4 linked regions of the Elephas maximus indicus genome follow. The protein of the gene in region 1 binds, or shares a complex with, the protein of each later gene. Links are inferred from orthologs where the notes say so. Each region holds a gene or a part of one and is shown on either strand. Other genes may lie near its edges.

Region 1 (7,694 bases):
ACTCAGCAGCAACTAACAACCGCTACCACCTGAAATGCTCATCTCCCAGACCTTTTATATGACTCGTTCCCTCACTACATTCATATCTCTACTCAAATGTCAACCCCCTCAAAGAGACATTCCCTGTCCAGCCTATCTAAAATGGACACCTCTTTGACCCTGCTTAATTATTCTTTATAGCATGTACCGTTCTCTGAACATATGCATGGGTTTGTCTCTTCCACCAGCATGTAAGTATAGACTTGGTTATCTTGTCCCTTGCTGTATATCCAGTGCTCCAGCCCGGGGCCTACCACATGGTACCTATAAACCCGTTGCCATCGAGCCAATTCTGACTCATAGCAACGCTATGGAACAGAGTAGAACAGTCCTATAAGGTTTCCAAGGAGTGGCTGGTAGATTTGAACTGCTGACCTTTTAGTTAGCAGCTATAGCTCTTAACCACTACGCCACTACACCCAATAAATATTTTCTGAATAATTACTACATGAACGAAAACTTAAGATCATCCAACTGGCAAGTGGCAGAGCCGGGACACAAAGCCAGCTGTCTGGCCCTAAAGTCTCTACACTTAGCCATTGTACCAGGCTGGACTAGCCCAAAGAGATCCTGGGAGGTTCAGACAGAATAATGAATGTGAAATCACCTTGAAAACTGTTAAGTGCTTGAAAACAGCAAGGGATTATCATTATTCTGTTTACTGTTTGCTCATCTATGGAATGGGGATAATAATACCCTGCCCTACTGACTTTATAAGGATGTTTTGTGGGGTTCCAGTGAGATAATGGTTGGGGAAACATTCATAAAAGTTAAAGGCTCTATATCATGGAAGGAACTCTAAAGATTATTTCCATGCCAGTGGCTTCTCTAGGCTCCCATCCTCTGCTTCAAGTTTGACATTAATATTGCTGACAGCCGAGGGGGAGGTGAGGGAGACTCGAGGGACCCAGGGACTCTGCGTCCCAGTAATTAAACATGTCGGGACTGAACCACTGCCAAAGGCAGCATCTGGTTGCAATTACCAGAGGGGACCGAAGTGATTAGTCACCTTTATAGTGAGAGCCAGGCAGGTCCCCTGGGCTCCTCCCTTGAGAAGCCCTTCTAACTAAGCTAAGAGTCCTCTTACCCTGCTCCTACCCATTTCTAGGGATGCCCTGGTCCTCAGGCAACAGTCTCTAGCTGAGACTGTTCTATGTCCCCAAAGTCCCAGCCCACTGAATGAGTCCTTCATTGAAAATCAAGAATATTGTAGCTGCCTCCCCCTCGCCCCCCTTTCAGTTCTTCTTGTGTTTCTAGAAGCCAGGTTAAGATTCTTAGGTATGGAATATGCTGAAGTGGGAGTTAGGCTAAAAATAATTTAACCTCTCTGAACTTCAATTTCTTCATCTTTTAAAATGGGGGTATTAAGGGTGCCTTCACCATTTTTTCACCATAGGGTTGTTATGAAGATAAAGGTAAAAATGCAATGAGAAAATAGGCCAGAGTCTAGTTTACTACAATAAATGTTCGGTAAGTAATAGCTATCATTATCATTTGCCAGGTGCTAGGCTAAGAAAATTGTATTTTACGTGCACACAGCTAATTAGGTTCCCTTTTAACAATTTTTATACAAATTGTTCAATACCATTGGTTACAATTTTTACAGTGTGTCAGCATTGTCATTATTTCCATTCTGTTTGTTCTGTTTCCATTGGTCTAGCTTCCCTTTCCCTCCTTGCTTTCTCAATCTTTGCTTTTGGGTAACTGTTGACCGTTTGGTCTCGTATAGTGAACTGTTTAAGGGAGCATATTACTCACAGGTGATATTGTTTATTTTATAAGCCAATCTGTTATTTGGCTGAAAGGTGATCTGCAGTAGGCTAATCACTTTTTATGATTCATTAAATTGTCACAAAAACCCTGTAAGTACTGTCATGATCCCTGTTAGAGTTCCAGAGAGGTTTAGAGACTTCCAAAGATTGAACAATGGGTAAGTAGCAGAACCAGGCTTCAAGATCAGGTTTGGTGGTCTCTAGAGCCCTTGCTCTTTTTCAGACTATGTGCAGGGACATCTTATTTGCTTAACTCCTTCCTTCATTCTTCACTCAGGCTTACAAAGTGCCTAATAAATAAGCTAGGCAGAATCCCTTTAAAAGAACTCAGAGTCAAACGAGAAGGCATGATATGTCTGCAAGTAACTATACTTTAAAGTAGAAGATGGTGTCTTTTATATATAAGGGCCAGTTAGAGTTTCATTCATTCATACAGCACATACTGAGAATCTGCTATGTGCCGGGCCTTGTGCCAAACACTGGGAATAATGATTTCAATGAAAATATTGAAAGAGAAATAAGGTACAGTCTAGTCACAATCTAATGGGAGAGATATATAAATAAATTATTACAGTTAAAAGGAATTAAGTTGTGATTTTAAAAAAATAGGAAAAAAGTGCAGACAGAGGGAGAAACGAAGTGTGTTAGAGACAGGAGGCAGCAGCAGACTGGATAATCATTGAGCTGCCAAAATGAAAAGGGGCACGGGACATATGTGGCGACAATTCAGAAGGAATGTGCATTGGCTGGGGGAGGGAGAGGGCTTCACGGAGGAGGTGGCTCATGAGTTGGCTCTTTTGCAGTGGGTACGTTTTAGGTAGAGGGAGGGTTGCAGCAGGAAGGACCTGTGGAAACAGGCCTAGCCACTCTGACAAGGTGCAGTTCCCAAGGATCTCTGCTGGGGGAGCCATTGAGAGCTGGCTTGGGGAGAGATCCTGGAGGCTTAGAAGCCAGTTATAGTAGGACAAGGGGGGAGGAGGACTGAGACAGTGGGGGAGGCAGTGGTTGGAGAGGAGGGAGAAATGCCAAAGATACTGGATATGACTGGTTATGTGGGTCATCAGTGAGGTGCCAGTGAGATAATGGATGGAGAAACAATATCAAAACATCAAAAGAGAAGCCAAGAGTTGTGAACCTGGGTGACTGGAGTGACAATAATTAATTCAGCCTTTCTTTTAGTTGTTAGTTGCCATCAAATTGGCTCTGATTCCTGGAGACCCCGTGTATAATAGGATAAAATGTTGCCCAGTACTGTACCATCTTCATGATCATTGGTATGAGTCTATTGTTGTAGGCCATCCCTAAAGCTCCCCCGAAGAGTGCCTGGTGGTGCACTGGCTTTCACAGATAGGGCAGTGAAGTTTCCTGATCTAAGACTACCAGAGGAAGCTTGGAAAATGGCCGAGTGGTGCTTCTGTGCTCGGATAGCCTCTGAGGACCTGGGGACGTCACTGTGAAAAGACTGGTCAGGCAGCCACTTGGACACCCTAGGCACCGGCTGGATCTTATTTCATTCATCAAATACTAAGCTTCTGGTCTAGGCTGGGCTAGGTGGGGAAACCAATCTGGTGACCTTGGAGTGCAAATAGACCTGTTAGACAAGCTCGGAGAATCTCAGATTGAGAAGGAAGCCTACCTGACTACTGCTTTCTACTGCTGCTGTGACTCTGACAATGTGACAAGTGCTGTAGAGAGATGTACAAGTGAGAGTGATTGGCGCTGTCTGGGGGTCAGGGAAGGCTTCCCAAAGGAGGAGAAATTCAGCTGAACTTCTCAGAATGAGAAGGACTTCCTCCAGTTGTGAGAGTGAGAGAATGATATTCCAGGTGAAGGGAACCGTTTCCTCAAGTGACTTGTGGTGAGTTGCCCAAAGGGTCTGTGGGGCAGTCTCCCCAAAGGAAGGGGCTTCAGCATTTCAATAAGGCACTTGAAGAAACCCTTGAGTCGGCTGTAATTCAGACTTCTTCCAGAGCTACGAGAAAAGCAGTATGTGGGAAATCTTTTTTCCAGCCTCCTGAAGGGGCCGCTGCTGCCCCAGCTTGTGGCTGCTGCCCCAGCTTATGGCTGCTGCCTCTGGACTCAGCCAGTCCTTTCCAAGAAAACTCTGAGGACGTCTTTGCTGGGGTGATGGTAGGGTACACCCTAGACCTGCTTGCTCTGAGGAGTGGGCTCAGGGGTGGTAGTGCCCCTGAGCCTGAATAAATAATCTGAGCTCAGTCAATGGCATTTGTGGGGGAGGGGTGTAGTGGGCATTGATAGTTCCCTGTCTCTGGGTCACCACAAGTTTATTAAAATAAAAGAAACTGTGGGTAAATGCTGCCATCTGTGCTATCCCCCCCCCCCCCCCATCAAATCAGGCCCCAGACTAGACGCAGGGGCTATAACTGCTTTGAAAACACTCCAAGGACTTAACTGAAAACCCAAACTCCCCGTGCTTCTGGGGCTTAAGATCCTTGAGTTCATTCCTCAGCATCTCTCCTTAGGAAGGTGGGGTGGGCTGTTCCGTGGGGTAGAGGTGAAGACCCCTAAGTCTGCTCCACGGACTGGGAGGCCCCTAAGTCTCAAGTCCCACTGCGGGGCTCTGTGCCAAGAGCCCCCGTGAGCCATGGCCTCGAAAGGGCAGCAGTGATTTTTTTCACATAAATATATCGCACTTAAATGAGTTTAGACAGCATGACATCAGAGAGTAATTAAATTGGTTTGGGTTGGAATTCCGTTTCCAATTCCTGAGTTCAGGTTTGTAAAAGATTTTTCTGAGCACCTGCAGGCCTGTGTGTTTGTGTGTGTGAAGTGTTTTCACTGGAAAGGATTCAAAACTTGGAAAAAAAAAAAAAAAACTGGAGCACACAGGCAGCATTACGCCATTCTTCCTTCTTGGAAAAATCCCTCAGCCTTATACAAGCCTCCTTCAAGCCCTCAGTCAGTTGTGCAGGAGAAAGGGGGCGGTCGGCTTTCTCCTTTCAAGAACGAGTTATTTTCAGCTGCTGACTGGAGACCGGTGCACGTCTGGATACGAGAGCATTTCCACTATGGGACTGGATACAAACACACACCCGGCAGACTTAAAGAGTCTCAGACTGAGGAGAAAGCCTTTCCTTCTGCTGCTACTGCTGCTGCCGCTGCTTTTGAGGGTCCACTCCTTTCATGGTTTTTCCTGCCAAACCAGAGGCACCTTCGCTGCTGCTGCCGTTCTCTTTGGTGCCATTCAGCGGCTGGCCAGAGGATGAGACTCCCCAAACTCCTCACTTTCTTGCTTTGGCACCTGGCTTGGCTGGAACTGGAATTCATCTGCACTGTGTTGGGTGCCCCAGACTTGGCCCAGAGACCCCAGGGGGCCAGGCCAGGATTGGCCAAAGCAGAGGCCAAGGAGAGGCCCCCCCTGGCCCGGAACATCTTCAGGCCAGGAGGTCACAGCTATGGTGGGGGGGCCACCAATGCCAGGGCAAAGGGGGGCAGTGGGCAGACAGGGGGCCTGACACAGCCCAAGAAGGGTGAACCCAAAAAGCTGCCCCCCAGATCGGGTGGGCCTGAACCCAAGCCAGGACACCCTCCCCAGACAAGGCAGGCTGCAGCGCGGACTGTGACCCCAAAAGGACAGCTTCCTGGGGGTAAGGCACCCCCAAAGGCAGGATCTGCCCCCAGCCCCTTTCTGCTGAAGAAAGCCAGAGAGCCCGGGCCCTCTCGAGAGCCCAAGGAGCCGTTCCGCCCGCCCCCCATCACGCCCCACGAGTACATGCTCTCTCTGTACAGGACACTGTCCGATGCTGACAGAAAGGGAGGCAACAGCAGCGTGAAGTTGGAGGCTGGCCTGGCCAACACCATCACCAGCTTTATTGACAAAGGGCAAGGTGAGGGGGCGGGGTCGAAGGGGCATGGCTCTTGAGGGAGGGGCATTGGCCGCATGGAGGGGCTTTCAGAGCCCTGACACTGCACTGTTGGGAGACGGTATGTGCATCTGGCCTGGGGTGGGTGTCTGGGACTTGCCTCATACGTACCAGATCCTGGGCTGATGATACGTCAGAGCTGGAGGGCACGTAGGGATCGCCAAGACCAATTCCTGCAAGATGCAGAGGGGGTCACTGAAGCCCAGAAAGAGACGAGACCTGCTCAGGGTCACACAGCCAGCCGTTGGCAGACTTGAAGACCAGACTCCAAGATCCTTGATTGCCAAGCCATGCTCTGTACCTATGTGCGTTGGCTAAACTTTCCAGGCTCCAGGGGTTTGTAGGTTTTCTCAGATGGCAGAGAGAGAAATGAATTTCTAAGTGGTTTCTCAACTTTGCCCTCAGGTTAGGGGGCAGAGGAGGCAGGGTAGGTGAAGACAGTAAATGGGGCATCTTGGAGTTGTGGAACTATGTTTAGATGTATTGGGAGGCAGGAGACCTAGGGTCTAACTCGCGATGTGACCTCGGGAAAGCCCTTTTCCCCTGAGGTCTCAGTTTGCCCATCTCTACAGCTATGTAGAGGTTGGGATGGAAGATTTCCGAGAACCCTTCAAATATGAAAACTTTATGTCCTGTCCTGACAGTGGAACACAGATAATTTTCATCATTAATCCAGGATACCTGTTTCTCTCATTTCTCCCCTGCCCACTGGGTGTTAGTGTCTTGGCTGCTTTTCTAAACTTGCTGTGTGATTTCAGCAAGTCCTTTCTCCTACCAGGGGCTCAGTTTCTCCATAAGTGTGAAGAGGGGGTTAGACCAGCAGACTGGTAAGGTTGCTCTCAGCTGACATGCCCTGCTTCTGGAAGTCTTAGGACTTTGGCTGGCGGGGTGGGGGAGGGGTCAGAGAGTGGGAGAGGCTCCTTATTAGAGCTGGCCTGTAGGGGACTGATAGGGGGTTGGGTAGGGGAGGCACCGAGGCAGCAGGTCTGGCTGAGGTGGGGGAGGTGGCCTGGCTGTCTGCCCAGCCAGGGAAAGCTGTGACCCCTTGGGGGCTCATAAAATAAGTCCTGTGCCCCCCAACACTAAGGGAGTTTGGGGAGGGGGGATGGGGGAGTTTAAAGGCCTAATTAGTTAGCTTCTAGAGAATATATGAAAGCTCCCCGATAGTAAATTGGAATTTTGGAAGGAGGCATGCTGATTTGTACATACTATGGAGCCTTGTACACACTCAGTCTTACAGTTTTTCACAAATACAGAATCATACACATACACACACACAGAGATACTTCTTACATACAGGGATCATACACACCCTTGAAATGTTCATACAAGCCCAATTATACATACACATAAACACCACATGCATTACCCTTCATATTCGCATATGAGCCCAATCATACACACACACACACACACCGTCACATATACACCCTCACACACTGAATAGGGTAAAACACATATACAACAAAATCATTAGACTGGGAGGTTTGGGGAAACTGGACTGTAGACCAGTTTTGTCATTAATTCACTGTGTGACCTTTAAGCAAGCCACTTGCCCTCTCTGTGTCTCATCTATAAAGCGAGAACACCAGGTCTCTTTTAAGTATAGTAGAAGCAGCTCAGGATTAGATATAAAAAGTTCTAGGCTACAGTTCCAACTCTGGTATTTTTCTAGCTGGGTGACCTTGAGCAAGTAACCTAACTTCTCTGAGCCTCAGGTTCTTACTCTGTGAAAACTGGGGAAATGATAATACCCACCCCACCTACCTTACAAATGAGGTATCTAATTAGATAATGGCTGAGAGAGGGATATATAGAAGGTAGTTATAAAAAAATTTTTTTTTTTTAGTTATAAAGTTAATGAATCTCTGATAAACATAGATCATTGACAAAAGCACCCAGAATCACAAAGAACCACTCAGATCGTCGATAGCCATGTCTACAGATAAACACCCCTACTTGGTCTGCTGGGTAGGAAGATCCTTCATTTCGAAAAAGG
Region 2 (6,770 bases), on another chromosome or scaffold:
TGTCAGGGACTGTAAATTTGAAAAGTGGCTTTGATTCCTTGGGAAGGTGCTGTAGGGTTGGGAGAGAGACAGATGCCAGCCATAGCAAGAAGCAGAATCTTTGATGTGGTAGAAAGACGTGAAATTGTTCACATGATCTGGTAAGAAAGGTTGGTACCAGGCTTACCTTGCCTATTGGATAATCTGCCCCTGATAAGGACCCCTTAACCACTAAGCCTGTACGGATGATCTCAGGAGTACGTGGACTGGAACAATCTGCTCACTATAAAGAGAACTGAGAAATTTGGTGAAAAGCCCCTAGAGAAGTGTGTAATGCAGAGTCTTTGCCCAGAATTCTTATCCTGCGATCACTTCAACCTTGGTCTACAGCCTCATCTGACTCTGGATAAATGCCATTGTTTCAGGTGTCTCCAAGTTCCCACTGGTTCCTTAAGTGTTTATGTTCTTCCCTGACAATCCATACTGCCAAATTGTTCCCAAACTAGTCATGGGATTGCTGGCCTAGTTTATTGAATGCAAAGCCACAGAACAAAGAGCCCTGAAAGGAATGGGGCTGGGAAAGTTGCTGAGGCGAGAGGAACTCCAGCATCTGAGGGGAAGAGATGCAGCTTCTCTAAGTCTGGTAGGAAGGCTCGGGCATCCTCCAGAGCTGTCTGAGCTGCCACAGTAAAGTTGGGGTCACCAGAGATTAAAACATCAAAGACACAGGAATGGAAGTAAGCATCTTCAACTGGCAACCCTTCCTTGCACAGCTGTCTGGCAGTATCAATGGTTATAGCTCCCCGACGATTGCGCTCTGATCGAGAGAGTCGCTGACTTGGGGGGCACCCTCCCACACAGAGCTGCAGGTCCTGCTCAGCTGAGAAGGCCCTGGCGACCTCCTCAGCTACCTTGATGGAGAAGGAGAGCTGCCCAGCTGTCTGCCGAATGATTATGGTTGTGCCAATATAGGCAGCTTGGATCTGCACATGGCTCCCAGGGTCAGCAGTTTGAATGGACAAACTTGAGCCCCCAGGTCGGTCACCTCCATTGATAGAACCGTCTTCAAAGGCTGCAGGAAGATTGTCCACTTCAGCCTGGTAGACCTTCTGGTCAATGCATTCCTGCATGTTCTTAAATATGATGGTGAGCTGTGAGGACAAGAAGAAAAATAGTTCATTTTGCAATCAGAGCACCCCTCCTCAACCCAATCAGGCCTCATAACATAGTCAGGGATCTGATCCAGGCTTATGTGCAAGGCTTATCATGGCCCTCACTTCTTGATCCCTTCTCCTATATATGTTCCAATATCGCCGCATTGCAATTCAACCCCTCCCTTTCTTTTTTGGTGCCAGTCTCAGCAACTTCCACAGGAGAAAAATTTCCCTTCTGAAACTCCTCAACACAGGGCTGCTCAACTCTCCTTGTCCTAACTTTCTTTTTAGTGTTTTCTGGGTTTGAGTGAAATCCCCATCAAAGGAAAGTGATTTACAGGAGCAAGTTGATTCAAGATGGAGGAGTGGTTATGAAGGAAAAGGTGCAGGGAGCCTTGCGGTGGAATAGTGAGGATAGAGAGGGAGTGGTATCCTGAGGGGACCATGAAAGGCTTGCATGAGTTGGGTCGGGAGGAGCAATTGAATTCCTGACCTTCCGGGTGGTGGTGGCGTTGGCCCCCCAAGCCACTGGGGAGCTGGTGGCCTGGACAAAGAGGAAGTCGTTATCTAGCAGGGGCCAAGCTCCTTGGACACGGCAAGTGTGAAAGTGGTGGTGGAAGCTGCGCACGTGGGGGTCCCCGAAGGAGGCGCAATGTAAGAAGCCCGGGGGACGACCGTGAAGCCGGGAAAACCGGCCTTCATAATCACAGGGGTCCGGGGCTGGCGGGCCAGAGGAGCGGGCCGGGCCGGAGCCCGAAAGGGCGGGGTCCCGCGGCGGGGGCGGGGCCGTGGGGCCCTGGCGGGAGCAGTTGTGCTGTATCATCAGGTCTTCGATTCCGTGCACCGCCGAGTGGAAGGCGAGGTCCCCTCGGCAGGTGCGGGCCGTGCGCCGAGTGCAGAGTGCGTAGGAGCGGAGGGCACGGCACAGGCCGCTGGAGCCCACCCCTCCTGCCCGGCCTCCTCCTCCTCGAAGCGCTCCTGGTGAACCGCCTCTTCTAAGGCTCAGGGTGGACGATACATACTCAGCGTTGCACCGGAGGATCTTGCATTGAGAATGAGCTGAGGGCGGAAGGAAGAGGATGGTGAGACTGCTGCCAGACCTCCACTTCACTCAAGTATTCCTGTAACTCTCCCACATGTCATTAGGGGATTCCAGCCATTCCCAAAACCCAACTGAGGGCCTTCTCCAGCCCACAGCCCACAGCCCACAGCCCACAGCCACCTAGTCCTGTCCTCACTCAGCGTTACCAAAACTGTGTAGGCCTGCTACATTTCTGTAGACCAAGGCTTCCCCAGTGCCCTTCCACAAGCTGAGTGAGAATTGAAATACACCAACTTGAGAATGGGGGGACTCCTTAGCACCCGTCTCTTCTCACCCACACATGCTCACGTAGTCCCTCCACCCCCCTACACAGAGACCTACCCTCTAGATTTCCCCAAACCCTTCCCTGGCCCTCCTTACCATGTCCACAGAGGAGCAGCAGGAGAGTGAGAGTGCTTAGAGTTGGGGGACTGCCATAAGGGGACCGGGGACTAGGGGGCTGCCCTGGATCCCCCATACCTATCCATCCAGGTCCCCCCAGGCTCCGGTTCTTTCCAGCTGATGACCCTCCTACCTAGTGAATTTTGACCAGACGTCCTGTAAGGGACTGAAAAAAGAAATTTGGCTGGGCATAGGGGAGAAAGAAGAGTTGAAGATTGGTCAGAGTTATGTGAAGAGAATCAGAGAAGATCAAGAAAAGGATGAGAGGACCAGAGTTTGGGGAGAATGGGCCTCTCCAATCTTTAAGAGTGGCTGCTAAGCCTGCATGCCCCGCTGCTGTGGCCACTTTCATGTCTCTTGTGCAATACCCCTGGCTGGGGGTGGAGGGAAAATTGAATGGACTCAGGGGGCAGAGTCCACTGTATTGACCCATCCTGAGCTACCAAACAGTAAAAATGTCAAAAATTGAAGAATCATAGGAATAGATCAGATCCTGGTCACCCCAGTGGATGCTCCAATAGAATTTGTTGCTGTTACTGTGTGCTAGCGAGTTGATTTTGACTCATAGTGACTCTATAGGACAGAGTAGAACTGCCCCATAGAGTTTCCAACATTGTAATCTTTACAGAAGCAAATTGCCACGTTTTTCTACTGTGGAACTACTGGTGGGAACCGCTGACCTTTCGGTTAGCAGCTGAGAGCGTAAACACTGCTTTACCAGGGCTCCTTCCAATAGAATTAGGATCTGAAAATACTTCAGCAACTACTTATTTGCCCCTCCCTATTAGGAGGGGACACCCTCCAGGAGCCATTCATTTCTTTTCTTACTTTGTGTGAGAATTTCCAGTGAGAAGGGGTAAGGGTAGGATACCTGTCTCTTTTCTAGAACATCAGTATTCAAATGAAAAGAGAACCAACCCTTTTCATCTGCTCTAGGAGCCCTGGTGGCGCAGTGGTTACGCATTTGGCTGCTAACCAAAAGGTCGGCAGCTGCTCTTGGAAACCCTATGGGGCAGTTCTACTCTGTCCTATAGGGTCGCTATGACTATGAGTCGGAATCGACTCAATGGCAATGTTTTATTTTTAAAATTTTTTTTAGATAGCCGCAATTATAATCCCTCCCTCTCATGGAATAATGAGAAACAAACCAAGCATGTGAATCACTATTTGTTGTTTTTTGAGTCAACAGTTCTTGTGTTTTTCCAAACCTGACTGAAAAACCACTTTTCCCATTATTCTTCCCTTTGCAAATTCAGAAAGTTCTCAATCCCTCTTTTGATGAGTATGGGGTTTGGGGAAAGGCCAGCTCTTTCCTGCTGAACTCTCCTCTCTTGGGGTAAGGATATGATGTGGGAGAAGAGTCAAGTAGGAGGGAGAATAGGATGGAGAGACTAGAGTTGTGGGGAGAAATCACTTACAAGAGGTAGCCACACCCTTGGAAACACAATGTGAAGGGCACTGATAAAAAGTAGGGACAGGGTGGAAGGGTGTCAGTGACTAAATCATAAGAGGCTAAATTTGGCCCTGGTGAGAAAACCACAGAATGGAGGGTGTGGGGACTCCTCTCAAAACTTCTTCAGAAGTGTAGAGGTAGAAACTAAGGAGGAAGTGAAGACTGCCAGAGGAGAGAAGGAAGATTAAGCTTCAAATGGCCAGAGGCCGGAAAGAAATAGAGACACAAGGAAAAATGCAGATTGAAGCACCTTGGTATGGGAGAGATCCTAGTTTTCAGACCAGTGACCCTCAAGTAGGCATCTGTGGTTTTACAAAAGTCTAACTTCAGTCCAAAAGCTTATTAAAGCAATTGAAATTTCATTTTGACTTACTGTTTCCAGAGGTCAAACATTAATCTGCTATCCAATTCTCCAGCCATGACTGCCTACTCTGTTGGTCAGCTCCAGCCAGGGGGTCCCCCGTCTCTTTCTCCATATCTCCCACAGGTCTCTAGCCCAGCTGCAATCTCACTGAGGTCAGGGAGACAGGGAAGGTTTGGTGTTGGGGGAAGGGGGAGTATATGACTGGTCAGAGTACTGGACAGCTGGGCGGGGGAGGGAGGTGGCTACTGAGTTGACGGTTTTAAAAATAGCTAAGTCCAAAATTCCAGGAACGTTGGTGGGGGTAGAGTGTGGGTGTGGGGGGAGTGGGGAGAGTAGGATTAGGGAGAACATGGAATATAGGTGCCAAGGCGGGGGAGGGGGAGGTGGAGGAGAGGAGGAGAAATATGACAGGCAAGTCAAATGGCCAATTCCAGCTTATATAACTCTATAGTCGCTGCCTACTCCAGGCAGCCCTCCAGCATTCTCGATAATGAGCTTCTGGCCTTGGAAAATTGTAGTGGGAAAATGGATGCATTTCCTTCACCACTTTCATCCCTGCTATGTTGAATATTGCATTCAGTTTCTATAGATAGTACCTGGGAGGTAGCTCGCTTTAAATAAAATCTATGGCCGATGAAGCCACAGCCCCTCCCCCATCTTTGCAGAGTATTTTAGTAGGACGAAAAAAGCCAGCTGTCCAGAGAAGAAATCTGAGCTCGGAGTTGTTTAGGATGAGGGTTTGTTCAGTCTGTCCAGCTCAGATCCCTGCAGCTGTCTGTCACCCCACCTCCTCCATTTCCATTCCCATTCCCTTAGCTTGGGCAGCAATTCCGTCTCATTCCACCACACGGATACACAAAGAATATAGCCTTGTGAGCTGCTAGTGGAAGAAGGCTAGGAAAGGTAAAGAGGTGAAGACAGAATGGAGATGGAATTTTTTCCCCTGAGGCTGCTAATCCTCAGGGGAGGGAAAGAGAGGGAGTGGAAATCAATCTAGAGCCTCTGCAGTCAGAAGCATTATTACCTATTAATTTAGAGAGAGAAAACATTAAAAAAATTCAATCACCTATTAAAAATTAAGAATAATAATGAACATAAAACTCTTCAATAAGTGTGACAAAAGATGAAAAGGTACTTTGATTCTGTATGATGGCCGGTGAAAGGTGAAAGACAATGAAAAAAATTATTGACAAAAAGGAAAGAGACAGAAGCAGAATGTCAGAAACACAGTGACTGATGTGGAGAAATGAACCGAGAGGAAAGGAAATTCAGAAAGATATTTTTGTGGAGTAACATAATCTTTTGACCTTTTAAAGATATTACAACCAAAGAATTTAGCCGTGTCATGTTTTTTGCAGCCCTAGGCATATCTGTGATCATCATCCCTTAGTACTTGCCAAGTGAAATTAACACGAAGGTTGATTCCAAATAGTGTCACTAAGACACCTATACCAGTTGGCTTTACATTTAATTCAGAATCTAGAGGCCTGAACAATGCTCTTCATATGTATAAGGAGCTAACACATTTTTTTTTCTCCACCATATCATGAGGAGTTTTATTATAATAATATAAAATGCTCCCAATCAAACTATTCAAGTGACTTTAAAACACAATAATTTGATTGTGACATCCCAAGTGGGGTACACCCTACTGATAAAAGAAATGCAAAAATATCTTAAAGTAGTCATATTGTTGATGGTAGTGTTGATATTGTTATTCTGAAACTATTGTGGGTTTATTGTGGGATAAAACAAGTAAGTAATAATGTTAGGGTCTTTGAGAAATGGAATTTTTGGTATGGGATAAAGATATAGAGATTTATGAATAATGAATTTAAGTGAAAGTCCTGTAATATTTTATTTAAATTGGAAGTCTAACTATGAATTCATGGTGTATTTTATCCTAGAACATGTTTCCTGAAAAAAGGCCTAGAAATAATTACCCAACAGCAATGAACACTATTAGTGTCCAAATTGTGCTATCTAATACCATTTTCCACTAAAAGGAACTAGGCTAATTTCAGGTTTGGGGCAGTAATTATCCAAGATAAGCAAGGAAGCTTTCAAAGACTATTAGGATTGTATCAAAAGGACTCAGAAGCCAACTAGAATAGGTCCCACTGGCCAAGGTGGGGGCAATTTGAGCATCAAAAGGAATAATATTTACAATGGATTGAGACATATCAAATATGTTCAAATCTCTAAGTTTACAATGGTACTTTAAAAACAAAAACTCATTGATCATCATTGCAGAATGCTAGGGATCAACTCATTATTTTGAAACTGCTAGTAATGTGAAACATTCAAAATTTATCCTGCTTTTTGTGTAGGAACTGT
Region 3 (7,995 bases), on another chromosome or scaffold:
AGGGGGAAGGACAAACTGGAGAGAGAAAGTGTTGTTTGGGTCAGCAGTTTCAGCCCCATTGCAAGCTCCTGTATGACTAATTTGCAGTATACACCCAGAAACATCCAGGCTTCATGAATTTATAATGACAATGCACACTTTGCCTGTTACAGGCAGTAAAGTAAACCTCTTGCCAGAATGCCAAGACAATGCAGAGCAGAAAGAACTACAAAGATGTAGCCAAAAAGGCCATGAAGTTTGTATGAGTAAGCAAGTAACTCCCATACGGGATTTCCAACCAGAAATTGCAGAGATTTGCTTTAAGAGGGGAAAAAAAGGTAAATAAAAGCACTCTTTCCACTTCCCAAGGGTAGGATTCAAAATTTGCAGCTCAGATTTCTCTATTTCATGAATCAGGTCATCTATGATCAATGTGATATTTTCATTGCAGCTAATGAAAGTGCTAAAGGATTTGTGAGTCTACAGCTCTCACTCGTGATTCAAACATAAAAGCTTCACCATTCAAGATGGTGTTTCTCAACACCAGGACCGCACGTGTGAATGTGCAGTACAATCACCAGTTTATAATAGAAGAAATGAGATACGTTAAAGCTGGATAAAGTGAAATGTGGAGCCATATGGGGTGCTGAGGCAAATGATACAGATCCCGGCATAAAACGTATGGTAGTCCATCTGCAAAGAGCACTCAGCTGGGCTCCCTGCTCTGAGGAGACAACCCCTGCATTTCAATAACATCCCCCTTTAAAGAAATCTCTGAAAAAGAGCCCTTTTCTATAACCAGAACAATTGCTCCACTCCAACAAGCTGTCCATAGAAATCACTCAACACAGCAACTTCAGGTTAAATCTAACGGTGAGTTTAGTCGAGGACACACTGAAATACTAAGAAGAGTTTCAAATTCCAAGCTCTTGAACTAAGGCACCTCAGTGTTTTAAATCTTTAAACCAACTTCTTAAGCTTTCACAGGGCAGCAAAGAAATCTTCAAGACCACATTCCAATCCTGTCATAGGAGCCTATGGCAACTACGGAAAACAATATCCAAGTAGCCAAGGGGAAACACTTCTGCCTAACATTTCAATTCCCATTTCACAAAACCTATACTTGGGTACTATAGACATACATTTTTCACACAAAACACGCCGGATACATCTTGATACATCAAGAAACATTCTCTATGTAACTGTAAGCAGACAGCCATTATTTTCTAAGGTTCTAAAACCATGAATTAAAAGCCTTAATCTTTCTAAAACTTGCTATTGCACTTTAAGACTTCAGTCTATATTCCTCCAAGTGACAAGTGTTAAAATGCAGCTGTTACGCCACATGCAAAGTAAAAGAAGTTGTCTCCTCAGATGCCACACATTTTCCCTCTACTTAAAACACCTCCTTGATTTTTAGCACGCCTGGTATGACTTAATAAAATTTACTCCATTTTTAATCATTTATAAATAATCGGGGTTTGGGGGGCATGAAAGTTCAGGACTCTGCAGATCAGAGCGCCGTGACTGCTGTCAAACAAATACAGGGCAAAAACACCTCGAAGAAAAATAAATTTACCTCATGTTCTGGTTGTTGTCTAATTAGAAGATGTTTCCCCTTCAGTTCTGGCATTACAAAAAATTCTCTGTCTACGTAAACTTCTAAAAAGAAGTGGTACACTGCTTTGTCAAGAGCGCCCTAGATTTCAACGGAACGTTTTTAAAAGGAAAATAGGAAGTACCACAGGCTGTAAGGCTCATCTCCAGGCTCCCTTCGCTAAAGAGGTTGCACACTGCTGCTTCCACAAGGAAAGCGCCGACCTCCAGAAAGCAGCAGATCTGTCAACCTCTCCCACATCCCGAAAACACGCGGCTAGCCACAAAGCACGAGTTTTGCCAGAGAGCTTGAAAGAAGAATTAAAAGCAGCTTTTGCAAATACGAAGGAAATCCCTGTTCAAAAGAAGTTTTGGTTATACTTCGAGATTAACCCACAGGTTTTGAAACTCTAGCTAAAATCTCTCCATCTGGTGCGATTCCTTCGCCTCGCCTCCACCCCTTTCTCCCCCAACTCCAGAGAAGCAGCACAAGGCTCCTAGTCTCTCCTCCGAGGAGGCGGCGGCGGCGCCGGAAACCTGATCCGAGCCTGACTTTCAGTAAACACCAATGCAGAGAGCAATAAAGCAACCGGAACGTTTGTCTCGGGCGCGCAGAGCCCAAGCCCCCGCCCATCAGATCTTTGATAAGCGGCTGTTGAAGGGAAGATTTATCAGCGGTAGGTGCCAAAGCCGGGCGGGAGGGAAGGGGCCTCTCTCAGGCGCCCAGGACGCGCCGCCCGCCGGCGGCAGCGAGCTCCGCTAAGGTGCGTGCCAGGGTTCGGCAGGCCTTTCCCGTCCGCCACGCCGTCTTCCGCCGCGGCGATGGCTTCGGGACCGGAGGCTGTTTGGGAACAAAGCTCCCGGACCTGGGCTGGCTCCCCCCCGCACGCCTCGTACCTGCGTGGAGCAGCCCGAGGCTGAGCAGCAGCAGCAGCAGCAGCGCCAGGGGCGGCGGGCAGGGCCGGGGGCGGCGACGCTGCTCAGCCCCGGCGGCAGCGGCGGCGGCGGCGCAGGAAGGTGTTGCTCTCAAGCCCATGCCCGTCCATGCAGGTCTCGTGGGCTCCGACGAGGGCGGCGGCGCGGGCGCCGTGGCAGATCCGCGGCCGTGGCTGCTGCATGGGCCGGGGGGCGCGCCTCGCTTCCTCTTCTTCCTCCTTCAGGCCCGCGTCGGAGACAGACCGCCGCCACCGCCGGAGCGAGCAGCGCGCCGCGGGTGGAGCGAGTTGGCGGCGGCGGCAACCGGGCGCAGCGGCATCGCGGCGGGCGCGGGGAGGGGGACGGGAGAGAAGACACAAAGACCGTGAGCGAGTGCCGAGTGCCGCCCAGAGCACGCGGGCGCCCCGGCCAGCGTGGGCTCGAAGGGCGTGAGCGCGGGCGTGGACCAACGGGAGGCGCACCCCGCTACTGAGAGCAGCCGCCGGCGGCTTCGGTGTCTCTGCGCGGCGCCCCCCGCGGTCAATCAATCTCGGACCCGCACTGCTGCCCCGCCCTGCCCGAGCCCACCAATCCACGCCGTCCCCGCCCCCGGCCTCGCCCCTCCCTCCAGCCCCATTGGCTGTGAGCGCTCGTCGGGCCTAGCCCGCCACTCGCAGGGCCCCAAGTGCCCACCCCTACGCCTCCTCCTGCCTCCCGCCTGCTCCTTGTAATTCGAGTTCCTTGGCCTCCGACTGCGGATCCAGTCTACAGCGCCCGGGCCCTACCCCGTCCTTCTCCCTCCCCTTCTCTCCGTCCGCCCACTTCGCGATTTACTGTTTCTTCGCACCCAATTGAAACAGACGACGGTAACTCTGTACCTCGCCGGCGTTACGAAAAAACCGGCCTTTGACCTCTCCTTGAATTAATGTGGTAGAGTTCAACTTCCCTTCAAGGTTTTCTTTTCTTTTTTTTTTTTGATTACACTCCCTCCGCCCCCTTACTCCGGCTCTAGCTCTTTGGAGGAAATTGGCACTTTCATGGAGCGCCTTGCGGCAGGTCTCCGGCAGCCTATCACTTCTCGGGACCGCGTTCCGAGCCTGATGCGACGTTGTGTAAAACAAGCACCGAGCCGCTTGGGAAATCAGAATGTTACCCGCAGTCCAGGGCAGATCGGATGGGACTGGGAAGGTGTCCGCGAGCTCCTGGTGGAATTCGCTAGTAGCTGAATGAAGCTTTGGTGTTTTTGTTTCTTTGATATTTTCCCTTTTGTAAAGCGGCGGGGAGGGGTCTGGGAGTGGGCAAACTTTAAGGTGTTAGGTTACAGTATAATTAGATTAATGAAGGTGAGATTTTGTGCAGTGAAGAATAATTATACCACGACTTGTTATTCAGTGGCTTTTCTATAAATTTCCACTGTTCTATTGGCAAATTAATTCAAGGGCAGGTCAGTTTTTATTTTTGATATTGGAGGTGTCCAAAAAAATGGGGGGGGGGGAATAAAACACCCAGTTGCCTTCCAGGAAAGCGGCTGCCAAGTGGAGAAACAGTAAAGCAGCTGTGAGATTGATGATAGGGTCCAATTTGGTTGTAAGTAAGTGTGAAGTGGTATCTAATCTCAAGAATGGTCTCAAAACTAGAAGTCACTTCACACTACCCTTGCCTTTGCTGTTCCCCAGACAGCTCAGGGCTGCCATTTTAAATCCACTTACATCCAAATCGCTGTATGCAGCTTTACGGACACTACATTACTCAGAATCTCTAATTAGGAATTCCGTATCAACCACGGACACGTTAATATTGCACATTTTACAATAATCTACAGACCAGGATAATAGAGGGCAATCCTCCGGTCCCACTAGTTCACGCATTAGACACGTGAATTGCTCAAACCACTAGGTCCCCAACAAAGGATGTCTACCTATTTTTACTGTAACTTTTCACTGCTTACTTATTACATACAACGATGACTCAAGTGGTAAACATACCTTTTGGTGTCCAAGATATAATCCAAGCCTTGTGTATACTCATAATATGAATATAATTAATAATAGCTTCAGAGTTGCCTGGAGAAATGACTTTTTTAGAGGAGGCATCATCAGATAGGATTTTGATAATAAAAAAATACTATGGACTAAATACTATTAAAGCTAAATTTTACTTTTTTGCAATTACTACACATAATAAAGTTAATAAAATACTAGTAAACTTTCAAAACTAATCAAATATGAACATTGTTTTTCAAAGCATTTTGCTAACAAGGACTGACAGTAAAATGCGATTTCTTTTTCCTTAACCCAAGTTTTAATTCGACCCTTATGAAAGAATCGTCCCACCTTACTGGCCATACTTCAAAACCTATAATCAGAGTCAAGGATAAATACAGCTTGGTGTGAGTTTTTTGCCTGTGACTTTCCGTGATTTTTTCCCCTTCCTCTCTCCTTACCGTCCCCTCCTCCCCATATCCTGTTCCTTAAGTACACGGGAGCTGTAGATTTTCTTATCAATAGAGGGCGCCCTTGGGTCACTACAAATCCTGGCGTGGTAAAACGGAACTATTCTTAAGAGAAAAAAACTTCATCTCCTCTAAGGTGCTTTATTATTGGTCCTTTGTTGGAAAATTTGACAAGCCCAAGATTTATAAGCCTAACAATTTACTTTTTATTGCTGCATAAGTGTTCAGCCGGCTAGAGGAAAATGCTAATTTTCACAATTAAACCACAAGGTGGTTCCTATTTTCAAGTGTCAAGACATTAGATCAGTTGACCCTTGCGGGGTAAATTCGGACTGTTAGATCAGAACCATCTTGAAAAGGAAGAGGACGGCGAATGGTCGCTTATAGCGCAACCACTCCTTACACTCTTGTGCTGAAGATTAAGGAGGATTTCAGACTCTACAAATAAAAGTCTGGGGAGGGAGCTGGAGCACAATAAAAAAAAAAAATCGATGACTTAAACACACGTTTTACATTTTAATCAGAAAAAAAAAAGTCGTGAGTTATGGCTTTTACAACTCACAAATCCACCCTGTTACTTGCCGTTTGTACTCTCTTCCTTCGTCTTTGTTTTCAGGAAGGAAAGATGAGATCAGAGCAGGACATTTCAGGGAACCCAGGAAAGCATGCCACTGTATGAACATGCAAGTGGATAAAATTAAAACACATGCCAGAATCTTAAATGGATGCTAAACAAGATGTGGTTTCTTTTCCTGAACCTATTCGCGATGTCTTAATTGCACCCCTGTTATTATTATTTTTTTTTAATGTATCTCCATTTCCAGATTACACGAAGGTCTGTCTGCTTAACACATCTCCTGTGTCAGAGGAACCGGGAATCAGACCCAGGGTCTTGGTTAGTGCAACCGATTCTAGAATAAGGGCTCCCTGTCCACGGTGTTCGCAAAGCAGGGGCTGAAACAGCCTGGGGTCGGACAACCCGGCGGCAAGCAGCTCTCGGTTTGTACTTACATCATTCTTAACCCTTCCGCTCCTGCAGGGGTCTCTGCGGGATCGTGGGGCGCAAGACCTGAGTGTGAGAGAACAGAGCCCGGCTTGAGCGCTGTGCCCCCAGAGGGAGAGGGTCCGGAGCGTGCATGGGGCTCATCACCCGCACGTACACAATCGGCCTCCGCGATCCCTGCGGGCTCCGCCGCGGCTCGCACGGCTCAAAGTGGCAGGTGCAAAAAGCATTTGGGAGCCGCTTGCCAGCGCGCGGAGGTAATGCGCTTCCTGTCCATTTATCTCAGGAAACCAGCGCAGCCTTCCCTTCGAAACAAAATTAACCTCTCATTAGCCAGCCACTCACTCCCAAGAAGACCTTAAAAGCTTTACCAGCTCTCTAATGTATTTAGGGTTTTTTTTTTTTAGGCAAATGCAGCCGCAGCAGTGACTGTCATCAGGCCCCCCCCCCGCCCTCCCGAGAAGGGTCCTCTGGGCTCCCCAGGAGCCAACTGGTTACCCCCTCCCCACAAGTTTAGGACACTCTGGCCAACGCGGGATCTCAGTTTGTAGTACTGACACCCTTGAACCAACTTCACGCAGCTCTAGGAGAAGTCGCCAGAACAAGTTCCCACCAATTTCACAGGCGCCCCATCACATGAAAATCTCAACTCTCCTCCCCTCAAGGAACCGGGAAGGGCACCCGGTAGGAGCTTCAATGGCCAGCTGTTCCCCAGGTCCCTTAGGATCGCCAGCCCTGTCCGCAACGGGTGCAGGAAGCGTTGATGGGGGGGCGGGTGGGCATAGGGGCAGCGTAATCTAGGATCTAGCCGGTTCCAGGCGTGGAGAATCAAGAGTGGTCCCAGGTCTGCAAGTGGCGAAAAGGGGCCTTTTGGAGAGACAGGGCTTTCTCGCCCTGGCCCCCCACCGCCCTGAGGCTGGCAGATTTATACCACACAGGTGGATGGAGACCTAAACAAAACAGTCCCGGTCGCTGCCTGCCGGTCGCCCCCCACGTCCCCCGGCCCACCGCAAACTTCAACAAAAATAAACAACTCACCACAGGCATTCCCTTGTCTGCAGCGCGACGCTTGCCAGCTGGGAAAATAAGCCACAAGCCACGCGGCCAGGACGCAGAGGGAGGGCAGCACCGCGCCCGCCCCTCTCCCCCAGGTGGGGGCCGCGGTGCCCGGGGCGAGTGGGGGCTCTGCCTGGAGGCCGCTCTCCCTTGTCCCAGACTCCGGAGCGAGCGCCCTACGACCAGCTGCGCAGTTCCAGCCAGCGCAAGCTCTCCGCCACCTAGGGAAGGGGGCGGGAGGCAAGTCTCTTAATCCCCCCCCTCCCAAACCCGCTTCCTCGAAGCTGCTTTCTCCCCCCTCTTGAGTCAAAGACAGCCAAACAGAGCAGGGACGTCAGGCCCCGGGCCTGGATCCTGCCAGTGCCGTACCGCCCCCTGCCGTTGCCACCCGGAACGTTCCAGTGCGGCTGCCGGGTGTAGCTGCGCCTCAGACCCCCGCCTCGAGGTCCCTGCTCAGCGCTAACCTCTCCCACCACTCCCCACCTGCTCTCATCCTGCACAAAGACGCCTTTCACGCCGCCAGCGCCACCCTCCGTGCGGTCCTCACAGCCCGCCACGCTGCCTTTTCCCAGCCGGAGACCATGCCAGCGGTCGCCTGGGCAGGGAGGTAGGGAGCGTGCTAGCTGTTCTCACCCGGCGGCTAGGAGACAGATGCGCCCCCGCCCTGCATTCCCTTCCCCGGTCTCTAGCTGTCTGTCCACCAGCATCACAAAATACACACCTTCCTCTCTACAAATGATCTTTGGGGTTTTTCCTAGTGTGTATAAATATGGGAGAGGGGGCCGGAACGATCCTCTGGACTTTTGTCCAAGTAAGCAATCCAGCGGTCTTTCCTGCCCATCTAAGGTGCCAATGTGACTCGAGCGTACAGCTTAAGAAGACTTGGGATAAACGTTTGCGAAGAACGAGGGGAGACACTTAAGACCCGGGTTAAGTGTGTTACTAAAAAAACAAACCCACGAGTGTTCGAGGAACGAGTCTCTTCCATCAGAGT
Region 4 (7,792 bases), on another chromosome or scaffold:
ATTCTTGGTTCTGAACATCCTGTGTCTGACCTTGCTTGTATCCAGACCAGCGTGTCACAGTATAATACGTCAGGCCTCAAATTTATCTGCTCTTCACCACACTGTAACATTTTTTAAAAAGGTACTCTTCATCCTACCTGAATGAGGCATTTGCTCACGTCACTAGCACAGAGCGCTTTGTTACAACTCAGTGACACAGGGACCCCCATCAGGAACATCAGGATGGCTAGAGTAAGCAGGACCACATAGTGTGACTTCATGTTTCTTCACAGAAGACAATAAACAACTCCCAGGAAGCTAAATAAACAAACAAAGAAAAACAAAACTTTAATTCCAGGACAGGTGCTAGGGTAAAACCAAATACAAAAACGAAAGACAAAACCAATAAACCAAGACACCTTGTTTGTGGCAAAAGACTTCTGAGAGATCATTTAAAATCATTCTCAATGAAAGAGTATTTAAACACTCAGAAAATAAACAACAATTTTATATTGTAATGTCTTGTTATCTATTTTTCAAGACGTAGGGTACTAAAATTCCTCAGACCACTCAGAAACAGTGACTGTGGAAGTTATAGTTATATCTAAACCCTAAGTAACCTGAGAGTATATCAAGCAAATAACTAGTTTCAAAACTGCACTGCCACTGTTTAGCTTTAGCTTTAGCTCCACTACTCTGGGTAAGCCTTCAGCTGCTAATCAAAAAGATGGCAGTTCAAATCCACCAGCCGCTCCTTGGAAACCCTATGGGGCAGTTCTGCCCTTACCTATAGGGTTGCTATGAGTCGAAGCAGACTCGACAGCAATGGGTTTGCTCAACTTTAGGGGCCCTGGTGGTGCAGTGGTTAAGCGTTTGGCTGCTAACCAAAAGGTTGGCAGTTTGAATCCACAAGCCGCTCCTTGGAGACCCTATGGGTCAGTTCTACCCTGACTTATAGGGTTGCTATGAGTTGAAACAAACTCGACAGCAATCGGTTTACCCAACTTTAGGGGCCCTGGTGGTGCAGTGGTTAAGCACTGGCTGCTAATGGAAAGGTTAGCAGTTTGAATCCACGAGCCGCTCCCTAGAAACCCTATGGGGCAGCTCTACCCTGACCTATGGGACCTGTGTGTCAGAATCGGGGGCCTGGGGGCTTTTTTACTCAACTTTAACCCCATATAAAAACTACTAATTTTGTACTATAACTTTAAAACATTTAACAACGTTTTAATTCTTACAATTAAAACAAATTTTAAATGCAAATTCCTGTAGTGATTATTTATGACTATCTCATTTTGTCTCCCAACAAAGTCAGCCAGAATAAAACAGCTCAAAGAAAGGAGTCTGCAAAATCAAACACTAAATAATTCAGCAAATAACAAAGGAGATAATATATTATTAATTGTATTAAGAACTCTAGATAATTTATTAAAATACAAAGACACTCTTTTAATTCTGTTAGTACCATAGATTCTTCTAAGGTATTACCAAGATACTACAGTTAAAAAAGAAAAAGAGACCAGCACAAATTCTGACAGCAGTTAAATAGCCAACGCAGTTATTAAACTTTATACAGGAGAAGATACAACTCCTTGGGATTAAAACACACACCCAAAAGATAATTAAAATAAATGAATATTTATCAAAGGATAAAAGGTGGGTTTATGCTTTTACAATTACCTTAAACCTTTATTCTAAGTATAACCAAGCACAATAAAGCAAAAGCAATTAGGCGATGAAATAAAGGGCTCAGTACCTGGTATGACTCAATGTGGAAAGAGAAAGCCCTGGGGATTGTTACTGGGCCCGAGAAGCATTCCCCTAAGACCGTTAGCACCTCAATTTCGGTAATTTAACAACACACACCAAGTCGGATGATTTGTGGAGGCCAACAAAAAGGACCACTAAAAAAGGGAAAGAAAAAAAAAACCTTTAACGGTTGTCCTGTGAAGTGTTTAACAAATGCTACTCCCAAGATCTCAGTGGAAAACGCGTTCATTCTTGACGTGGGCATGTGCAAACCAGGCAAGAGAATCCTCCAGCTCTGCGAGGCTGCCCCCCAGCCCGGCCGCCCCCCCCCGCGAGCCCGGCCGCCGCCCCCCCCCCCCCCGAGCCCGGCCGCCGCCCCCCTCCAGCCCGGCCGCCGCCCCCCTCCAGCCCGGCCGCCGCCCCCCCCCGAGCCCGGCCGCCGCCCCCCCCCCCCCGAGCCCGGCCGCCGCCCCCCTCCAGCCCGGCCGCCGCCCCCCTCCAGCCCGGCCGCCGCCCCCCTCCAGCCCGGCCGCCGCCCCCCCCCGAGCCCGGCCGCCGCCCCCCCCCCCCGAGCCCGGCCGCCGCCCCCCCCCGAGCCCGGCCGCCGCCCCCCCCTCCAGCCCGGCCGCCCCCCCCTCCAGCCCGGCCGCCCCCCCCCGCAGCCCGGCCGCCGCCCCCCCCCGCAGCCCGGCCGCCGCCCCCCCCCCGAGCCCGGCCGCCCCCCTCAGCCCGGCCGCCCCCCAAGCCCGGGCGCCCGGCGTCTGCTCCCTCGGCTGCGGCCCGCGGGGCGCCGGGCCACGGCGCTCGCTGCACAACGCCGGCGGTCTTCGCCGCAGCCCAGCCGGCCCGAGGCGGCGCCCGGCCCGGGGATGCTGCCCGGCCTCTCGGCGCCCGGCCCGGCCCCGCAGACCCCAAGCGACAGCACCCCACTCCTGTCCCCCGTCGGCGGCCAGGCCGCGAGGAGCAGGCGCGACTCCGCGCCGGAGCCCCCGCCCGCCCGCACCCTGAGCCCGAAGCCCGAGCCCGAAGCCCGAAGCCCGAAGCCCGAAGCCCGAGCCCGAAGCCCGAGCCCGAAGCCCGAGCCCGAGCCCGAGCCCGAGCCGTACGCTCACCGCGGCTCGTCCCCGGGCAGCTCCGACCGAGCCCCGCGCAGGCTGTGCCAGAAGGCTAGGCCGCGCCTCCGCGCCGTCCCCTCCGCGAAGCGCCCGCGAGCCTCCAGCGCTTGAAAGGGACAGGCCCGGCCGCTGCCCGCCGCCCCGGTCCGCCACTCCCTCTGGCCCAGCCGCCGCCAGCTCCCGCCAGTAAGAGTCTCTCACCCACCCCGCCCCCGGCCGCGGCCCCGCCCCTCGCCCGCCGCGCTGGCCCCGCCCCGGCCGCGGCCCCGCCCCGCCCGCCGCGCAGGCCCACCCCCGGCTCGTCAGCGCCCAAGCTTGCCCCTCTCCCCAGGGGCACAGCCCCCGGGGTTTCCCACGCGCACCCTGGTGGGGAGCTGCTCACCGCTCCTTTCCTGGACTCTGTTTCTCACCTCAGATCGAGTTTCTTGGTCTCATAACCTAGGCCCCAGCAGACCCTTCCTGTCAGGTTCTTTTCTCCGAGTACCCTCTGTAGAGCGTTGTGACCAACACTCTTCGGGAGCCGTCGTTGCGCAGTGGCTAAAGCAGTGGCACCCACCAGCCACTCCGCGGTAAAGATTTACAGCCTTGGAAACCCTGCGGGCAGTTTGGCGCTGTCCTCCAGGGTGGCTGAGTCCATAGCGACTGAACGGCGGTGGGTTCAAGCGCTGTTCTCTACGCTGAGACTGTTACGTGCAGGAGCTCACTGAAGCCACCTGAGAGGTTATTATTAGCTCACTGTCAACTTGAAGGAAACTCTGGTGGCCTACTGATTACGTGCTACAGCTGCTAACCAGAAGGTGGGCAGTTCAAATCCGCCAGGCGCTCCTTGGAAACTACGGGGCAGTTCTACTCTGTCCTATAGGGTCGCTACGAGTCGGAATCGACGCGACGGCACTGGGTTTGGTTCTTTTCCGTATAGACTTGAATCACTGTAGACATGAACATTCCTCAGTGCGTCATACTGTGGTTGCTCGTGTGTTGCTATCAAGCTTTGGAGCCGGTTTGTTCTGGTTCGAACCCCTGCTAATAATTTGCATTTCTAACAAGTTTCCAGGAAGTTATACATAAAAATCACCCGGGAATCTGTTAAAATGTAGATTATGATTCAGTATGTCAGGGTGTGGAAATGCATATTCTCTGTAGGGAACTTGTTAGAAATGCAAATTCTTGGCAGGGGTTTGAACCACAGATCTTCCAAACTAAGACAGACTAGGATCCACTTCCAAAATTTAGGCACAAAATCCCTATGAATCACAGCAGAACATTGCCCAATTCATTTGCTCTGGATACATCACCAGGAGAGATCAATTACTGAAGGAGGACATCATGTTTGGTGACAAAGATGGTCAGTGAGGGTGAGGGAGGCCCTCAGCGAGATGGATCGGCACTATAGTCACAATGGTGTTGTTGAACATGTCGATAGTGGTGATGATGATGCAGGACCAGGCAACACTTGTACACAAGGTGGCGGTGAGTCAGAGTTGACTGGATGGCAGGTGTCTGTCTATTCAGTTACAGACGTGCAAGGCCGAGGCACAGAGGGGTTAAGTAGCCTAGCCAATAAAGTAGCAGACAGGACACTTGAACCCTTTTATTTGACGTCAGAGGCAGGACTTAATGAAAACGCAGGTTTCTGGGGTCCACCTGAGACCTACTGAAGGAGGACTGCCGATGGTAGAGCCTTCCAAGCTTATATCCAAACCAAACCAAACCCATTGCCTTCCAGTCGGCTCCAACTCATAGCAACCCTATCAGTACTTCATTAAATCTTACTGGGGTTCTTATTTTGTGCTTGGCCCGGTGCTTAGCATGGGAAATATGGAGGAGGGAGCACCACAGGGGCTACTCCAGGAAAAAAAAAAAACTCCAGGGAGACGGATAAATTCAGCCATTAAAAAGTGATGCCATAGATCAAAGCTTCTCAGACTTTTTGGTCTCAGGACTGCTTTACACTCTTAACAGTTATTGAGGACTCCAAAGAGGTTTTGTTTCTGTGTGTTACATCTATCAATATTTATCACAAATGAAACTAATTTTCATTTAAAAAGAACAATAAATTCATTGCATGACAAAATGATTAACAGTTTTATGAAAAATAAATACATTTTCCAAAATAAAAGAAAATGGGAAGAGTGCTATTGTTTTCTACCGAGAGAAAATGCTATTTCAGCAACAGATATTTGCAAAAGATTTTTTTTATATTTACGCTTTGTAAATATCCCCTAAGTTTTCACAAAATTCACAATGTACCTGTGATTCACTGTTCCCTACCAAATTAGGTCCAACCTCCTTCATTTAATTTATTTAAATTCTTCATTAATTTATTATAGCTTTTTTTCCCCCTGATTACAGAACTAATACACATTTGACTAGGGAAATTCCAAATATTATAGAGCTTCACAATGTAGATAGTGAAAACCTCTTGCCATTTTATCCCCCAGATAATGCTACTAGTAAGAGTTTCGTGTATATTTCGGCTTTTATTAAAATTCACATATGTTAACATATATTTGCAAAAAAAATAAAAGTACGTTAAGCATGCTGGATTGCTTTTTTCACTTAGTATATATTTAGGACAGCTTTTCATGCCAGTATATAAATGTGCAAAGACCTGGAGTTAGAAAAATAAAAAGGAAGAACATGATCTGCATTTCTCAAGCTGAAAGAACTGAAAAAGAAAATTCAAGATTCAAGTTGAAATACTGAAGAATTCTGTGGGTAAAAAATTAAATGATGCAGGAAGCATAAAAAGAAAATGGAAGAAATATGTACAGTCATTATACCAAAAAGAATTGGTTCACATTCAGCTATGTCAGGAAGTTGGATATGACCAAGAATCTCTGGTACGGAAGGAAGGAGTTCAAGTTGCCCTGAAGGCATCGGCAAAACCGAGGCCACAGGAATTGACAGAATACTGATTGACATGCTTCAAGAAACTGATGTAACGCTAGAAGCACTCTGTCATCTGTGTCAAGAAACTTGAAAGACAGAAATTTTGCCAACTGACTGGAAGGGATCTATACTCATGCCCATTTCAATGAAAGATGATCCAACAGAATGCAGAAATTCTCAAACAATATCAGTAATAGCACATGCAAGCAAAATTTTACCGAAGACAATTCAAAAACAGCTACACCAGTACATGAACAGGGAACTGCCAGAAGTTCAAGCCAAATTTGGAAGAGGACATGAAGAGGATATCATTGCTGATGTCAGATAGATCTTGGCCAAAAGAAGAAAAAAAACACAAATAAACATCTTTCTGGTAATCAACTATGTGAAGGAATTCGACTGTGTAGACCGTAACAAATTATGGATAACATTTTGAAGACTGGGAATTTCAGGACACTTAATTTTTTTTTAATTGTGCTCACGCAGAACCTGTACATGGATCTAGAGGCAGTCATTTGAACAGAACAAGGGCATATTGTGCAGTTCAACATCGGAAAAGGAGTGTGGCAAGGTTTTATCCTTTCACTTTGCTTATTCAATTTGTATTCTGAACAAATAACCCAGACTGTATGAAAAACAGGGCATCAGGATTAGAGGAAGACTCATTAACAACTTGTGATATGCAGATGATACGAACTTGGTTGCCAAAAATGAAGACTTGAAGTATTCACTGATCAAGGTCAAAGACTATAGCCTTTAGGACGGATTACACTTGTAAAGCAAATGAAAATCCTCACAAAAATAAACAACATTATGATATATGGAGGAGAAATTGAAGTTGTCAAAGATTTCACTTTACTTCAATCAACAGTCAACGTTCGTGGAAGCAGTCAAGAAATCAAACAACGTATTGCATTGGGCAAATTTGCTGCAAAAGGCCTCTTTAAAATTTTCAAAAGCAAAGATGTAACTTTGATGACTAATGTGTGCCTGACCCAAGCCGTGATCTTTTCGGTCACTTCGTAGGGTTGCTATGAGTTGGAATCGACTTGACAGCAACAGGTTTTCGGTTTTCTTATGCGTGTGAAACCTGGACAATGAAAGAGGAAGATAGAAGAAAAAACAACGTATCCAAACTATGGTGTTGGCAGAGAATTTTGTATGTACTGTGGACTGCCAAAAGAACGAACAAATTGGTCTTAGAAGAAATACAATCAGAATGTTCCTTGGATCTGAGAATGGCTAGACCTCAACTTGCTTACTTTGGACACACCATCAGGAAAGACCAAGTCACCTCAATGAGATGAATTGACACAATAGCTACGATAATGGCTTCAAACATACCAGTGACCATGAAGATGGCACAGGGCTGGGCAATGTTTCCTTCTGTTACACCTAAGGTCACCATGAGTCGGAACTGATTCAACGGCGGCTAACAACAATAATGTGTAGATCTGTATCATTTTTTGAAATTTTATTCTGCTGAAGTATATAACAAAAAATTTTCCGTTTTAATCATTTGTAAGTGTATAGTTCAGTGACATTAACTACTTCACCACGTTATGCGTACATCATCAGTATCTACTTCTGAAAGTTTTCCAAATGGAAACTCAGTGCTCCTTCAGCAATACTCCCCCCTTCTCTTCTTCTTCCTGGTAACCACTGATAAGCTTTTGTCTCTGTGCATTTGCCTAGAGTAGCTATTTCATATAAGTGGGCTCATACAATATTTGTCCTTTTTTGTCTGATTTATTTCACTTAGCATAATGTTTTCAAGATTCATTCATGTATTAGAAGTATATTTCTCTTTATGGCTGAAAATATTCCACTGTATGTGTATACCACATTTTGTTTATCCGTTCATCTGTAGAGAAAATTTTAGCTACTGTGACTAACGCTGCAACGAACGTTGGCATACTGCAACATTTTTAAAAATAGATTTTATTTTTTTAGAGTAATTTTAGGTTTACATAAAACTTAAACGCAGAAAGTACAAAGAGTTCTCATTTCCCTCCTCCAGCTGCACACTGGTTCTCCTGTTAACATCTTGCACTCCC

Evidence for each region.
Region 2: the proteins of GDF5 (region 1) and HJV are in contact, whole or in part, in a crystal structure (PDB 6Z3L), measured with the Homo sapiens proteins. The link is inferred for Elephas maximus indicus from reciprocal best matches to the Homo sapiens genes GDF5 and HJV. Residues at the interface, in NP_000548.2 of Homo sapiens: Met412, Trp414, Trp417, Phe478, Asp480, Ser481, Lys488, Tyr490, Met493; in NP_001366281.1 of Homo sapiens: Arg95, Arg98, Gly99, Leu101, His104, Ser105, His108.
Region 3: the proteins of GDF5 (region 1) and RGMB are in contact, whole or in part, in a crystal structure (PDB 6Z3J), measured with the Homo sapiens proteins. The link is inferred for Elephas maximus indicus from reciprocal best matches to the Homo sapiens genes GDF5 and RGMB. Residues at the interface, in NP_000548.2 of Homo sapiens: Leu396, Arg399, Phe435, Pro436, Leu437, Arg438, Ser439, Asn445, Val448, Ile449, Leu452, Ser455, Met456; in NP_001353437.1 of Homo sapiens: Gln57, Thr60, Phe63, Val64, Thr67, Ser68, Leu70, Asn71, Tyr88, Leu103, Val104, Ser107, Ala108, Leu110, Gly111, Ile112, Asp114, Leu115, Gln118.
Region 4: the proteins of GDF5 (region 1) and TWSG1 are in contact, whole or in part, in a crystal structure (PDB 8BWL), measured with the Homo sapiens proteins. The link is inferred for Elephas maximus indicus from reciprocal best matches to the Homo sapiens genes GDF5 and TWSG1. Residues at the interface, in NP_000548.2 of Homo sapiens: Glu434, Phe435, Pro436, Ser439, His440, Glu442, Asn445, Val448, Ile449, Leu452, Ser455; in NP_065699.1 of Homo sapiens: Cys26, Lys28, Cys31, Ala32, Ser33, Val35, Ser36, Leu39, Ile40, Cys44, Gln45, Cys46, Arg47, Cys73, Val74.

Annotation. Positions count from the first base shown.
Region 1 is NC_064843.1:34,001,192-34,008,885, forward strand, and holds the start of GDF5 (growth/differentiation factor 5), read left to right. Parts: upstream 1-4,694; 5' UTR 4,695-5,034; coding exon 5,035-5,659; intron 5,660-7,694. UniProt on the Homo sapiens protein: Growth factor involved in bone and cartilage formation. During cartilage development regulates differentiation of chondrogenic tissue through two pathways.
Region 2 is NC_064821.1:157,530,310-157,537,079, reverse strand, and holds HJV (hemojuvelin), read right to left. Parts: upstream 2,693-6,770; coding exon 2,596-2,692; intron 2,193-2,595; coding exon 1,627-2,192; intron 1,131-1,626; coding exon 507-1,130; downstream 1-506. UniProt on the Homo sapiens protein: Acts as a bone morphogenetic protein (BMP) coreceptor. Through enhancement of BMP signaling regulates hepcidin (HAMP) expression and regulates iron homeostasis.
Region 3 is NC_064820.1:106,507,359-106,515,353, reverse strand, and holds the start of RGMB (repulsive guidance molecule B), read right to left. Parts: upstream 3,010-7,995; 5' UTR 2,612-3,009; coding exon 2,473-2,611; intron 1-2,472. UniProt on the Homo sapiens protein: Member of the repulsive guidance molecule (RGM) family that contributes to the patterning of the developing nervous system. Acts as a bone morphogenetic protein (BMP) coreceptor that potentiates BMP signaling. Promotes neuronal adhesion.
Region 4 is NC_064829.1:13,965,559-13,973,350, forward strand, and holds the start of TWSG1 (twisted gastrulation protein homolog 1), read right to left. Parts: upstream 3,015-7,792; 5' UTR 2,841-3,014; intron 1,884-2,840; 5' UTR 1,736-1,883; intron 298-1,735; 5' UTR 261-297; coding exon 138-260; intron 1-137. UniProt on the Homo sapiens protein: May be involved in dorsoventral axis formation. Seems to antagonize BMP signaling by forming ternary complexes with CHRD and BMPs, thereby preventing BMPs from binding to their receptors.